Linked DNA regions of Danio rerio. The protein of the gene in region 1 purifies or fractionates together with the protein of each later gene. This does not show direct contact. Links are inferred from orthologs where the notes say so. Each region holds a gene or a part of one and is shown in the gene's direction. Other genes may lie near its edges.

Evidence for each region.
Region 2: the proteins of fbxo7 (region 1) and psmb1 purify together in Homo sapiens (affinity purification with mass spectrometry; 3 studies listed by BioGRID and IntAct, counting the BioPlex papers as one, with this or other methods). This does not show direct contact. The link is inferred for Danio rerio from reciprocal best matches to the Homo sapiens genes FBXO7 and PSMB1.

What each region holds. Positions count from the first base shown.
Region 1 is NC_133179.1:944,964-953,175, forward strand, and holds part of fbxo7 (F-box only protein 7), read left to right. Parts: intron 1-4,227; coding exon 4,228-4,545; intron 4,546-4,647; coding exon 4,648-4,792; intron 4,793-5,176; coding exon 5,177-5,260; intron 5,261-5,396; coding exon 5,397-5,492; intron 5,493-5,604; coding exon 5,605-5,781; intron 5,782-8,212. UniProt on the Homo sapiens protein: Substrate recognition component of a SCF (SKP1-CUL1-F-box protein) E3 ubiquitin-protein ligase complex which mediates the ubiquitination and subsequent proteasomal degradation of target proteins and plays a role in several biological processes such as cell cycle, cell proliferation, or maintenance of chromosome stability.
Region 2 is NC_133188.1:1,046,043-1,053,815, reverse strand, and holds the end of psmb1 (proteasome subunit beta type-1), read left to right. Parts: intron 1-193; coding exon 194-275; intron 276-1,510; coding exon 1,511-1,640; intron 1,641-4,036; coding exon 4,037-4,143; intron 4,144-4,660; coding exon 4,661-4,846; 3' UTR 4,847-4,964; downstream 4,965-7,773. Other genes in the region: dnaaf10 (dynein axonemal assembly factor 10), read right to left, coding at 7,062-7,269, 7,754-7,773. UniProt on the Homo sapiens protein: Non-catalytic component of the 20S core proteasome complex involved in the proteolytic degradation of most intracellular proteins. This complex plays numerous essential roles within the cell by associating with different regulatory particles.

The sequences.
Region 1 (8,212 bases):
CTTCTTCACATACTATTTGATCAATCCTCTTTCCATTCGCTTTCACAATTATCCATTGATGTAAAGTGAGGTTTTTAAGGGTCAACAATAATGTAGCAGGTGAGGCCAATATGTCAGCACCAGTGAAATCTAGCAGTTTTAGCTGCCTTACTATTTGAGAGGAAGCTGACAGGGTGTTTCTGATTCTTATTGTATGGAGTTATTTCTATTTCATCTTCTGAATTGGCAATCTTTGCCCTCAAATTTTTTGTCTCATCTCTCTTTACCTTTCGACTGTTATTCAGTGCTTCATCTATTCGTTTAGCCTTCATCTCTAAAAAACTCTTATTCCATTTTAAGGTGCCTCATTTTGAAGCGTCATAAAGAAGTTTTGCATGTTTAGCATGCCCTGGGATTGAATCTCTTAAAGTTTAATGTACCAAGCATGCTCTGAAACTCTTTCAATTCCTTTCATTTATTTTCCATATTCTGTGGCTGGGATCATTCAGGACCAGTTCTTTGAAGTTCTCTCAACACCAAGCAGTTTTCATTTTCTTTACCCTGAATCCATTTTTAGGCTTTTTTTATTAGATCTCAGACTCCAGATGCTGTTTGCTTCTAGTTATATATAGTCATAGTTATATATAGTTATATATAGCTTCTAGTCAGATATAACTTTATCCTCTGTGCCCAGATTCTGTTTAATTGTGTATATACACTATCTCCTACTTTTTTTGAAAGAGCATCTGCCTTTTCAGCTGTTGGAACTCTGTCATTTAGAAAAGTCCAGCAATCAATTACCTCCTCATCCCAATCTTTTCCTGATTTATTTATTTATTTTTCCGCGAATCATGCCTTTGCTTCTTTGGTCATTATTTCAGCTCTGCCACTGCTAGCTGGTTGGTGTTGTAATGATTTGATCAGTTTTTCAGCTTCACTTTTCAGACAGTTTTCTGCTTCATTACTTGTAATGATGTGTTGTCCACTTTCACCCTATTCAGCTTTCCTCTGCATTTGACAATTCTTCTTAGTCTGAGGTGTAAGAGATTCTGCATAATCCATGCTTATTTCATCATTTTCCTGATCTGTTTTTATTCATATTTATATTAACATGAGTCCATTGCTTTTCTGCAATTTTGACTTTTATCCTTTGATATTCTGTCTGTAAGTTTTCTATGTTTAGTCCTGAAGCGTGACAATAGAGTGCTCAAGTACTTTTGTGTACTTGTAATATTTTGAGGTGTTTCTATTCATTCTTTGTGACTATAAGACTGTCATCTTTATAAATCACAATAGGTCGCCCTTTAAGAACCTCCATCATTATAGCTTGAAAAGCATTTGGAGAGTTCGAAAATCGAAAATTAATTATACCGCTTATTAACAAATGTAAATGCGAGGTTGCCTCTCAGGCACAAAATCCAAATATTTTTGATAATATTTTTCTTCTGGGGCTGCTCCTGGAGCATCTCTTGCATTAATCGGGTATCTTGTATCTAGTATTGTTGGTTTATTTTGTTACCAACCTCCACCCTCCATCTGGTTTTGCAAACACTTGTATAAGGAATTTTGTTGGTGCATTATCAAGTTCCTCTATTTATCTTTCAGCTTTAATTCCTGTATTTGTTTTCTTTCCCTTTTATTAATAGGGTATTGTCTATAGTGGGGTGGTGCAATGGCACAGTTTGATCACATTCCTATTTATGAAAATTTTTTGCAGTCATTTTCTACTATGTGCTTGATTTATATTTTTTCTCCTAAGTTCTCTCTGACTTTATTAGTGTTGGCTTTAATTGTTTCGGCCATTCTCTTTAGTTCCTCCTCCTGGTTTACTTTTTAATCAATAACCAGCCTATTTCTCTACTTTTTAATATTGTGCTGGCAGCTTTCAGTTTACTAACACCTTTTGTGATCTGTAAACGTTTTCCTTTTCTACATAACCTCTGAAGTCTTTAATATTGAAAGCTGTTTAAGTTTCTTTGGCTTTTTTAGGCAAGTGAATTACCACCAGTTAAAGATTATTCCATCATAATATATTAAGGTTGTTTTACTTGGAGGCAGGCACCCCTAGTCCTCTTGAGATTTGGGTGACTCTGTTACTGTTAACAACGTTCTTGTTGCTTTTAACTGCTTTAGTTTTAGACTCTTTCTTTGAGTTTCTCTTGTCTATGATTTCTAGTCTCTGTTCTGGGGTCAGTTTTGCCCATTCCTCTTTAGAGACAGAGTCATTCTCTCCAGATTTTTGTTTGAAATCCGTTTATTTGTATTTACTTTTATTCTTCCTTGTGACCTGAGGCTTTTGGCTCTGGTGTTTTATATTCAGCTATTAGTCTTTGCAGTTTTTCAGTAATTATCTTTTTTTTTCTTTCTCATCTAATGGCAAAGTTCATTTCCCCCATGATGTTTGCGGCCCTAAAAGTTTTAGTCTGATAATCCAGGCACTAAATCTGTCACCTCTTGAACTTCCCTTATCTGTGCATACACTGAATTCAGTCTCCCGTCTGTCTAAGCAGTATGGGTAAACTCCTATTTATTTTATTGTTTCAGCCCTTTCCGCCCCTCATCTTGAAGGGCTTTACCTAGTATTGTCCCTAGCTGCAGCCTTATCTTCTTCTTGGTATGATCATTGCCTTAATTCGTCATCAGCTTTGTACAGTTCACCTATTCTGATCATTCGTGAGTTTTGTCTGTAACCGATGCCCCTGGGGAGAATGTTGTTTATGTTAACAGGTACGGAGCCCTGTTGCTTAACTCACTGACCCCCTGAGATTATCTTATTTTTGTACTCATCCCCAGCATCACTTATTTACGGACTGAGTGCTCCTCTTCAGCACAGCAGTTAGTTTCAGAGCTTGGCTCACTGGAGACTCATTCGGCAGCGGGGTCTCATGTTTCTTTTTTGCCTTTGTTATCTTCTGCTGTCCTCTTACCTCTGGTGAGCTTTCTCTAGCAAAATAATGTCCTTATTTTCCCTAGTTTTGGGTCTTGTTTGCTTGATGAATCTTCATCCATTAATCCTGGCCAAGTCATTCCACTGATCATCGCTTGTAATCCTTCTGCCAAATCACAGATCATATCTAGTTTGGCCTTCTGATTTATATCAGTTCATTTTTATTTTTCGTCTGCTGTACAAGATGAAGCTAGATATGTCATATCAGCATTCTCTTTGTTTCTGCCCTCCACCTTCTTTAGGTGAACTTTGAACCCAGGTGGGACAGTGGCATCCCCAGAACATCTTAGGATTTGCCAGAAGAGGCCATGCTGAATCTTGGGGTGGCACACACACAAAAAATCAGTGTAATGTTGTATTTATGTTTCTGGTAAATGAAATAATGTGGTTTTAATTCATTTTAATTAATTATTCTTGAAATATTGCAATTTATTTCTTGAAATAATTCAGCAAGTACATGCACAAACCAAATAAAAGTCAATATTTATATATATATAAAACTTTTCAGTTATTTTTTACAGTCTTTTATTGTACAGTATATGCCATGTCTAAAATTAATGAATAATTTAATAAAACAAACAAATGATGAACAAACTGAACAAAAGACATTACTACATACACACACACCCACTATACAGATTAATAATATCATTTATCCATATTCCTTTTTGAGCCACAATATTATTAATACAGCTTCCTCTATTGATGTACCTTAAGTTAAATATGAAATTGCCATTGCTGACTATTGAAGGTGTGTGCGGGCTGTCAATGAAGATCGAGAGGGGGAATAGCAGTGAATCTGCTACGCCAGTGGCACCAATCAATCCACAATAATTTAGTGGCTGCTATTTATTTATTTATTTATTTATCTATTTAAGTACTTTAATAATGTCAACAGCAAAATCATATTGTGTTTACACTGTGGTGGCTGTGGTGGTGCCCCTGAGGTGGGAGACGATTTCTTTGAGTCCCTGTGTAGCATTTTGTGTACAGAGTGGCCTACGAACTCTAAGTGAGTGTTGAAGTTGGCTTCTGCTGATGAAACTACAAACTATCTTCAGCAAACTTTCTTTTTAACTGAATCTCTAACTCCGGTTCTTCTTCATCAGACAGACTTTTCATTTTTGGGTTAAAACTGTTGGTTCCCCTTATAATTCTGAAACTGCACTGCTGGGGTTATCTTACAAGCCATGAAAATAAAAACAAAAAGACAAACGGACTGAAGCCATGACTTGGCGTGTGTGTGTGTGTGTGTGTGTGTGTGTGTGTGTGTGTGTGTGTGTGTGTGTGTATGTGTTCAGGCTGGTGGATCACATGTCAGCAGTAGCAGCAGTGTGATGGAGCAGCATGTGCAGGAGTGTGTGGATCAGGATCTGCTGGAGCGTGTGGATCAGCAGCAGGAGTGTGTGGATCTTCAGCAGGACTGTATGGATCAGCAGCAGCAGCAGCAGGAGTGTGTGTGTGCTGCGGCTCCTCCCCTGCTCTGCTGTGAGGCTGAAGACGGTCTCCTCCCTCTCGCTCTGGAGCGGCTGCTAGACTCCTCCACCTGCAGAAGCCCCTCCGACTGCCTAATGCTGGCGCTACACCTGCTGCTGCTGGAGACCGGCTTCATCCCACAGGTGATATCCACTTCACCTGGGCTATGTTCTTTCTATCCTAAAGGGAAAGTTCACCCAAGAATGAAAATGTCCTCTGTATTTACTCTCTCCTTCTCGCTTCAGGGCGGAGCCGTGAGCTCAGGGGAGATGCCGATTGGCTGGCAGGCCGCAGGGGGTGTGTTTAGAATCCAGTATGTCCACCCTCTGCTGGAGAACAGCCTGGTGTCGGTGGTGGCCGTGCCCATGGTTCAAACTCTGGTCATAAATGGTAATATACACCGTATGTAACACTGATATGTTCAATTTAAGTGTATTTGTAAAGTGTTTTTTACTATTATTATCATTCCAAAGCAGCTTTACAAAGGGTGCACATCATTACATGACAGTCGACATTAGAACAGTGAAGTGACTTAGTTTTTACAGCTAAGATTTCTTTTATTTAATGTTTTTTATCCTGTAAAAATGCTTTTCCTAGATTTTGTTGTCTCGTTTCTAGTCCAGAGATGTCGAAATTCTTAAATCAAGAAGCATTTTCTAGACAAGCCAAAAATATAGTGGTGTTTTCTGAAGTAATGAGTGAAAATTTCTTTAAAACAAGCAGAATAATCTGCCGATGGGGGAATAAAACAATCTTGTTTTTGCTTTTGATCAGCCGTCCTGAAGATGGAGACGAGTTTGGAGAATTCCCGCAAACTGCTGCTCAAACCTGACGAGTATGTGACAGCTGAGTGGACAGGTGAAGCTCACACACACACACACACACACACACACACACACACACACACACACACACACACACACACACACGCATTAATCATCTGTAAAAGCACAGCAGGATTATGGACTGAATGACCTGCCATGTGTGTGTGCAGGCGGCAGCTCAGGTGTGGTCTACAGAGATCTGCGCAGACTCTCTCGCCTGGTCAGAGATCAGCTGGTGTATCCGCTCATGGCCACTGCCAGACAGGGTGAGTGTGTGTTTACTGTTCACACGTGTGTGTCAGAGTGCTTTGTGTGCATGTACTGTTCACACGGGTTTGTCAAAGTGTTTAATAAATGTCTTTGTGCATGTGTGTATAGCTCTGGGTCTGCCTCTGCTCTTCGGTCTGCCTGTTCTTCCTCCTGAGCTGCTGCTGCGTTTGCTGCGTCTGCTGGACGTTCGATCTCTCGTCTCGCTGTCGGCTGTGTGTCGGCACCTGAACACCGCCACCCATGATGCTTCACTCTGGAGACACCTGCTGCACAGAGACTTTAGGGGTAAATGCGCAAATATACACTTTAGGATGCACGATATGTCTGTGGCCATATCAATATCGGCTGACAAATGCTAGTTTTTTTTAAAGGTTTAGTTCATGCAAAAATTGTAATCAATCATTATATACTCTCCCTCGAGTGTTTCCTAACCTTTGACTTTCTTTACTCTGTTGAACACGAAAGAAAATATTTAGGAGAATGCTGAAAACCTGTTACCATTGATTTGTGTAGGAGGATAAACAAATGCTGCGTCCTAATTCGCATACTAAAACAGTATTTAAAAAAATAATTAGTGTATATAGTGAATATTAAAGATCAATAATAATGTTTATTAATATTCTGAATTAACTTATAGTTAATTTGACTAAATAAATATAACAATGATTTTGCCCGCTCGTCTGAGCAGACTGTAATTATTTATTTATTTAGAAAGGGAATTATAAGTATTTGTCAGGGCCGGATTGGCCAATCAGGAGGACCGGGAGAGTTTCCGGTGGGCCGGTCCGTTTTTTGGCCGCGAGGGCTGGTGTTTCTAGCTGCTTGCACTCTCAGCAGTTGCACTTTTTTTTTCATTTATATATTTATTGAACAAAGCCTCACTCTTTTTATTCATTATTTTGCCGCAGCTCCGGTTATTTATTGTCTCACAGCCCCATGAGCAAAATGCAGCCTGCATGTAATGATGATGTAATTATTATTCCGGCTAAATTATTATTATTATTTTTTTTTTTTTTTTTTTTTTTTTTTTCATTTTTATTGTTGAGACATATCAAACTGTACGGTTGTTGAACATTTAAAGTTCTAAAGCAGCTGTTTTCTTGAAAAAGACATGATAGCATAATTAGAAACTGAATTGGAAATGACCTTATATTAATATAGTCAGTCGTGAACTGAGGTGGGCCGGTCTGCTTGAAACTCCAGGGCTGAAAAGGAGTCCCACTCCAGCCCTGCTACATGTGATGTAGATGAATAGTTTAGACGTTTTGGTAAACTGTAAACTTGTTTTAGTAAAGCTTGTAGCAAACGCTCTGTCGTTAAATTGACCTTTTCTGTGAGGCAAAACAAAGACAACATGGTTATAGCCTGATTTATTGACTAGTCTAACATATCAAAACAAACGTACAAAACATAACAACAAAAACATATAAAAGAAGCAAGCGAGCAAATAAAGAGTTTAGATAAAAGAATGGCAAATCTAGTTCAGTTCCACACAACTGTTAAAGACTCCTAAACCCTTCTGCTCCAATGTCTGGGAGAAAATGGGTTTTAACTATGGGTCAAGTCACACCTATTTTCTACTGAGTGACCAGTGGTTTCAGGGCAAGGATTTGAGCGTTTGACCGTTGATATGCATAATGAGGGTCGTCCCTGAGCATACAGCTGGACCTTACCTCTGAGCATTAAAGAATGCAAGCTGTAAAAGTTATTGTCATATGGTTGTAAAATAGCAGGAGAAACGTAATGCTACTAAACACGACACTCTAAACGCACATCAGATAGCATCTAGGCATTTCTATACTATATAAGATCAAAAGGGACTTCATTAACGCATGCATATACTATTTTAATTACTTTAGCTTTAGGGCAGAGCATATAGATTACAAACACACATTACATTTCTTTTGGAGTGAGTTTTTGAGTTCTAATCGTTCTTTCAGTTGTGTGTGTCTTTGGGTGGGTGTGTGTGTGTGTGTGGGGTGTTGGAACAGTTGCAGGTTTTCCTTTGGAATGTCTTGGCTTGCAAAGATGCACCAAAGGGACACAAGTTTCTCCCTTCTCCCCATCTGTAATATAGATTAAACAGCAGCAATGGGTCCCCAGTTTCCCTTATGCATCCCAGGTTAAACGAGGTGTCATGCACAGCGACCTTTGTCTCTAGACTTTCTGGAGCCTTTAATCATGAATCTCTCACCGATAAGAAATATGGTATTTAGGGGTAATCCAGTTCTTCAACTGTGACCCATATGCAACAGTAGCATGTGCAAAAGTGTATGCCGACGGTTCCTTGTGGTTGTACTATTTCAAGTAGAAATTTGAAGTGTAGAACCCTTTATTTAAAATTATCGATAGCCCCACATGTAATTTGCGCACACAGAAATCCTTTAAGGCCATAATTTATTCATTTGCTTGTGTAAATGTGTTTACATTAATTGTAGTAATTTTATTGAATAATATTGAATGTTTATGATTCATCTACAACACAGTGACTAATGTAAAGTTTTCTGTCTCTCAGTAGATATATTATGAGAATAAGATTGTTTACCAAAGAAGTGGTTGTACTTGGATTTTGATTGTAAATCTTAAATGTTGTCATTTTAATTATGTTACAGTTTCAGCTACTTTTCTGTCAAATCATTCTTCATAAATCTGCAGCCTTTGTACAAAATTCTGCACAGAAATAGCAAAAACATGTACACAATGTGGTAAATGGTTA
Region 2 (7,773 bases), on another chromosome or scaffold:
TGAGAAATTGCACTTCAGAGTTAATTATGAATTATTTAGCATTAAACCGTGTCTGTGTCATTGTTCTCAGCTGCAAGAATGTTAAAACCCATGACAGTGAGCAAATAAATGCACACCCACAGTTTATATTGTCAGCGTGTGTGTGCTGTACAGCACTTTTTACTTTCATTTCTCTGTTTTTACTCTCTCTCAGGACAGACACTACAGTTCTGGGCTGCAGTGGTTTTCATGGAGACTGCCTGACGCTCACCAAAATCATTGAGGCCCGACTGAAGGTGCGTCTCACAGCCTAGAAGGGAAAATGGAAATGCTGTTGTCGTTTTTTCATGAGGGAACATTTTCAGTGTGCTAACAGTATGACACTGAAATGTACAGATATAATGCTTCACTCAACAAAATGAGTTGAGTTTTAGAAATGAACAACCTTTTATTATTTTTCTATAATATTGCTGTGGATAATTTATCTGTAAAATAACAATATAATTTGTCAAATAACAAAGCAAATTTTACAACCAATTAAAAAACAGATAATACAAATAAAGGAAGTATCTTTATTATCATTAGTTATTCTTAGCTTGATTTTTTTTTTACATGCTTTGTTGTTATTATTATTATTATTATTATTATTTAGGAAATATGACAATAAGTTTTCTCTGCACATTTAAAAGGGTGGAAAAAAAAACGTTGCCTCACATACAAAACTGAACAAATCTCCTAATTAAGGGGTGTCCAAACTCAGTCCTGGAGGGCCGGTGTCCTGGAGAGTTTAGCCCCAACCATAATCAAACACACCTGAACAAGCTAGTCAAGCTCATACTAGGTATAATAGAACAGGGGTGTCCAAACTCGTAGGTGTCCTGCATAGTTTAGCTCCAACTTCCTTCAACACACCTGCCTAGAAGTTTCTAGTATACCTAGAAATGGCTTGATCAGCTGCTTCAGGTGTGTTTAATTGGGGTTGGAACTAAAATATGCAGGACACCGGCCCTCCAGGATTGACTTTGGACACCCCTGTACTAGACACTTCCAGGCAGGTGTGTTGAAGCAAGTTGGAACTAAACTCAGCAGGACAGCGGCCCTCCAGGATTGAGTTTGGACACCCCTGTCCTAATTGTTTAAATCGCTTTATCAATGTCATCTTGGCACTTTTTAGGACTCGTCATGTTTGCTGTCATCATTTTAATAATTTCACTAACAAGGTTCATCACTTAAAACATTACCTGCTACAACTTGTTTACAACTTGTTTAACTTGTTTTCATGTTAAGACCTGCTATTCCAACCTCAATACCTTCCAGTGCATTGCATTTGCCCCATGTCAGGTGTGAATATTTTTACAACATTTATTGTTATTGTGCAAAACATTAGCTAAAAGAAACTTGAAAATGTCATTGACTTCCGTAGTATTTGTGTAGTCACACATGTAAATGGACTTCCAGCCAGCTCATGATCCCCACAGAAATATCCACATTTCCTGAGCGGTGTGTTTGACTTTCTGGGCTGCCCTTACAGATGTACAAGCACTCGAATAACAAGAGCATGACGAGTGGAGCCATCGCAGCCATGCTGTCCACCATTCTGTACGGCAGGCGCTTCTTCCCTTACTACGTCTACAACATCATCGGCGGTCTGGATGAGGAGGGTGAGTTCGCTCAGGTCTTCAGGCTTAATTCAGCCATCTAAAGGTCAGGAGCGCATTAAAGGCAGTCTGGCTGACTGAAATATACTTGGCTAAACTGGCAATGAGCTGGTTATAGAGACCAAAACAAAGACATTTTGACAAGTAACCAGGGGGCTATTTCATAAAAGTGGTTAAGAAAAGCCTGACTTCAATGAGCTGAACTAAACGTCCACGCTTAAATTGATTCCATAACGGCAAGTTGAAGATCGTTTGATTTAACTAGTCTGAGTTCAGTTTAAATGATCTAGATAACTGCTCGTGCACATTTCTGTTGTGAAACCTTAAAAGTCGAGCATAGATGCATCGATTACGTTGTGTGCTACCATGGCAACTTAGAGAACTGAAAGAGCTCTGAAATGAGACACAGCTGTTCACAGCGAGTGAGTCACGAAACTGCAGATTGTTTAATAAGCTACAGTAGCTCTATATTTTTAAATATATGCTATTATTTATGCCTATTAACATGAAATTAAATATTTGTTATAAAACATAGTAATTGTGCTTGACCGCGCATGTGCATGAGAGAGAATTTGCGCTTACTGCCAATTGTTGCTTGCAATTAAACGTTTTAATGCATTGCGTTAAATATATTTGTGCATATACATTAGATTATTCAGTACCAATGCAAAGTTTGGAATATATATATATATATATATATATATATATATATATATATATATATATATATATATATATATATATATATATATATATATATATATATATAATTTTTTTTTTTTGCTATTAAGTGACTAAAGTTTTAATCATTATTAAGAGGTTAAGTGAATTTAAATGGCATCAAATTATGTCAGGTGAATGTTAACATTACTTTGATTAAGCTTAAACTTAAGGCTTAGCCTTGGAGTTAGCCTGCCCCGGACCAGGCTAGTTTCCCAGCCTAAGTTGCCAGGGTAACTAAGTTTGAACTATCGTAAATTTGATTTATGAAACCGAATCCGCCATTAATAAACCTGACTTACCAAAAAAAGCCTGGCTTTTTCTGTAAGCTTGGTTGATGGAATAGCCCCCTGCATTTTCAGGTAGATTTATTTATTTATTTTTTTATTAGAATATGCAAAAAGGTACATAAATTGGGATCATACAAATACAAAAAACATCAACAAAAAACCATAACAAAACAACAATAAAAAAAACAATAAAAAAAAAAAAAAAACAATATAGTCAGGTACTGTTAGGTGTGTGTGTGTGTGTGTGTCCATGTAAAGGTAACTTGGTGGAAGGTCAGATTACATACATTAGGAACAATGTTAGCCAATAAATGAATCTAGTCTCGCAGATATAAGTAAAACAGATACAAAAGAAACCAGTCAGAGTTAGGGAGTAACAACTATGCTTAGTAATGTATAATAGAAATAATGACAGTAAAAAGAAAGAAATGACAACAGTAATAATAAATGATAATAAATCACAAGTACTACCCTAACTACTACTACTGCAGAAAGTTACTTATATTACTATATAATTATTAACTACTATTGCTGCTACTACAATCACAACCACAACTATTACTACTATAATGTCTACTACTGCTGATACTACCACAACAATGACTACCACTACTGATACTACAGCGTCTGCTACAACTAATACAACGTCTACTACTACCGCAATCACTGCTACTACAACATCTACATCAACGACATCTACTACTGGTACTACTACACCAACAACGATTACTACTGCTACAACGACACTTTTACTACTTCTGCTACCACTATACCAACGACATCAACTACTACAGGAACTAATACTTCAATAATCACAATTACGATCGATACTACTACAATGACTACTACAACTACTACACCAACAACGACTACTACTACTACTACTGCTACAACGACACCTTTACTACTTCTGCTACCACTATACCAACGACATCAACTACTACAGGAACTACTACTTCAAAATACAATTACAATCAATACTACTACGATGACTACTGCTACAACTACTACTACTACAACAACAACAACAACAATTACTGCAACCTTAATAATGATAATCGTATTAATATTTTCAGGTAGATTAATATTGTGGTATTTGTATACTTTATAAGAGTCACAAACTCACAGCACCTTTAAAAACCCCTCTTCATTACCACAGAAGAACCAATAAACAAGATTACTGTGGTAATGCTAGGAAACTGCATGTTGCATTTTCAAATTTCGGCCATCCCATATTAATGAATACGTTGTCAGTGCAGACACTTGACACTTTTATGATCTTAAGTCTCTCCAAATGGTTGATCAGTTTCGTTTCACTAATGCATGTACACATTTTTCTTGAACACAGAACGGTGTGATTAAATAATCATGTGTTTTGCTTTATTCCAGGTCGAGGTGCTGTTTATAGTTTTGATCCAGTTGGTTCCTACCAGAGGGACACGTATAAAGCAGGTGGATCAGCGAGCGCAATGCTGCAGCCGCTCCTCGACAACCAGGTCAGAGTTCAGATTATCATCATAATATTAAATAGTCCATCTTAAACCCCATTCAGACCAGCAGTTTCTCCCATCACTACCAAACTTAAGTACACATGAAGTCAAAACTAACCATATTAGGAAAAAAACAATAGATTGCCCTTATAGTCTTTAATTGAAATCTGTAAATGCACTTCCTGATTGTTTTTGGGTAAATTCTCAGATTAGGTCTGTCTAATGTGGTGGGCGGGGCTAACACCCTTAACCACGCCCATCCAGCTGTCAGTCAACCAACAGAAACAGTGAGCAGGAGGAGTCTGTTAAGTTGTAATAACTCTCCCCAGACCCTTTTCCCCATCTTCCTGAATGAAACACCTACTTTACTACATCCAATCAGCTCACAGTACAAAAAACAAGCCACGCCCACTGTCTTCTCATTTATTATGCCGTTTCTCTCACAAAAGAAATGGTTACAGATTCCAGTTCACGAGGACTTTAATAGAAACCAACCATTAACTAAGTTGTTTGTTGTGCTCAGATCGGCTTCAAGAACATGGAGAACGTGGAGCATGTTCCTCTGACCCAGGAGAAGGCAGTGCAGCTGGTGAAGGACGTGTTTATTTCTGCTGCCGAGAGAGACGTGTACACCGGAGACGCCCTCAAAGTCTGCATCGTCTCCAAAGAGGGCATTAAAGAAGAGATCGTGCCGCTCAGGAAAGACTGAGACGCCTTCTCTGCACGCCAACGTTAGCCTCTTTTTGTTTCGCTCCAGATGCATCTTTCATTCTGCTCTCCTTTTTATATTCTGTCTCGAGAATAAATACCATACTGGTGTCAACATTGTGTAGTGTTCAGAGTGGTTTGTCCATTTGACAACCTCAGGTTGAGTGAAAACATCGCATCTGGATTGTGTTAAAATGTCTACGCTGTAAAAAATGCAGAGCTCCACACTAACCGATTAAGTGAAAGCAACAAATCTGAAGTAGATTGAACTTAAATTAAGTGGTCAAAAAATAAAATCTCAAGATTTGTGTAGTTTTGACACATTTTAAGTTATTTAAAAACATTTTTTATTTTAGATGGATAGACATGGAAAATGGGCCTAATCAGGTTTTTAGCTTCGATTTCAAAACTCTTACAATTATTATTTAAGTAAAAACCTCACTGTATAGTATATGCTCAAATTTACACTTAAATACTTGTATAATTTTATTGAAATATTCAAAACATATACCAGCAGAACATCATTAGCTTTGAAGACCTATTTTTTGAAGATCATTTTTACCTGTTACAGTGTTCAGACGGCAGAGAGACACCACGTTGACGTTGTGATGCCAAAATCATTGTAATACAAACGATAACATTAAAAAAACGCATGTATCGGCCACTTAAATGTTGTGGCCATTTATTGGCCAATATCAATATGGGTACCAATATAGGCAGATGTTATTATGGTGACCTACTCTATATGCAGTGTTGGGGAAAAAGTAATATATTACAATCTGTAGTATGTATTTATATATATATATATATATATATATATATATATATATATATATATATATATATATATATATATATATATATATATATATATATATTAAGGGTGTCATGATTTCAATTTTTAATCAAAATCGATCGAAATTTATCGTCAACTTCAATTATCGAATCAAAAAATAGAATCGTCGATGCTGCAACGCCCCCATGTAACGTCAGCTTGGCTTGCCAAGCGGGAAAAAACAGGCTTGTTGAAGTGCTTGTTAAACTGCAGAAGCAGGAGACCCGTCGACAGAGCTTAAACCCTCTCCTCTTTCAATGAAGTCACCGGTGTGGAAGTATTTTGGATTTTCAGTTAGTTATGTTGACAACGTTCGTGTTGTCAACAAAAAAAAAAAAAAAACAGTTTGCAAGCTCTGCCATGTACGTATTACGGTTGGGATAATAGACGATGGGCGCATTGCGATCCATACACGAAAACACGAAACTCAGGCCCTGTTTACACTAACATGTCTTTGTTTTTAAATGGCATTTTAGAACGACAACAATCCACATCCACACTGGCGTGTAGCATTTCTGAGCAGCCCTCCTTCCTCACTACCGCTGAAAACGCACATCACGTGACCACACACACACACTCATTCACACACAGACACATTGTCATGCGCTCGAGACAGCGGGTCAAGGCAGTCAGCGGTTCAGTAGACTGCTTCCATCTTTTACTTTCACACAAGTACTTGGTCATTTTAGCGAACACCTCAGATACTGTTGGCTGGTTCCTGTCTTTCTGGAATGATATTGTTAAGGAGACAGCCAAAATGTGATACAATTAAAACAACTTGACCTCAAAGTTGTACTCTTGGTCTTTGTGTTCAACTATTAATCAGCTAACAGTCAGAATAATAGAAATTCATGTTTTGATTTTATTATTAAAGATCAATAATAACTTCACCATAGCACTGAAGGCCTTCACTTTGGGCATAAGAACCCATTTCACCAGTGCTAGCAAAGCAAAGTCACAACTACATCCAGTGTTATAAAGCATCATAACACTTGTCTGTAAAAAAACTAATCAACTCGAATACAATTGCAGATTTACTTAAGGGATAGTTCACCCCAAAATTAAAATTGTCATCCTTGTTTCAAACCTTTGAGCTTATTAACTTATTAAACACAAGGGAAGATATTCTGAAAAACATTGACTTCCATAGTACTTGTTATTCCTACTATGGAAGTCAATGGTTACAGGTTTCCAACATTAATGGAAATATCTTCTTTTGTTTCCGATAAAAGATAATAAAAGTTTGAAAACCACACAAGGAAGAATAAATAGTGAGTACATTATATTTTGGGGTGAACTGTCCCTTTAAGACACACACGTTCATGTAAACAGTCATCAGATATTCCAGTCTGTTGGAGAATAAAAGTGATGTACTGTTGGCTCAGACAGTGTTGAGTTTGGTGACTATGAGCACTCGTACAGACTGGTCGAATGAGGAGCAGACGCAGAGACCCTGTTTATCCGGGCTCCAGTCTAGACTGGAGATGGGTTGTGTGGACAGAGTCACGTTCTGGAGGAGATTGACAGATCCAGCGACCCCCATCTCCACATCATCTGCTCCCTTCTTACTCCTCTGGGCCGGATACTCACTGGAAAAACAGGAGGAAAGAATGCTACTGAGTAGAGCCGTCAAGCAATGAGGAGTTGAAGAGTGGCCAGCAAAAATGATTCTTTTAAGGTCGCTTTAAATGCAAATGAGATCGTGCACTTTTCAGAAGAGGGCGGAGCTGAAAATGCCTGTGTGTCATCATAGTGGCAGATTCTCAAACAAGACTAACGGCATATGCTAATGAGGGAGAGACATGTACAAAGGGAAAATGTCATGCAAGTGTTTCTGTTTTCAACATGTTTGATTATAACAATTTAATTAATAAATGTTAACCATTAGAGGCTGGATATATTCACTAACTGTTTCCACACAACTGTGTTTAAAAGCCCTAATAAAAGTGATTTTTGCATAATAGTTCCCATCGTTTCAATACTAAATATATTGTATTTTGTCATGTACTGGAAATGCAACGTCACATCAACAGCCCAGATGTTTAATAATATAAACTGCAAGAAATCACTTACTATTTCCATAAATGCAGGTT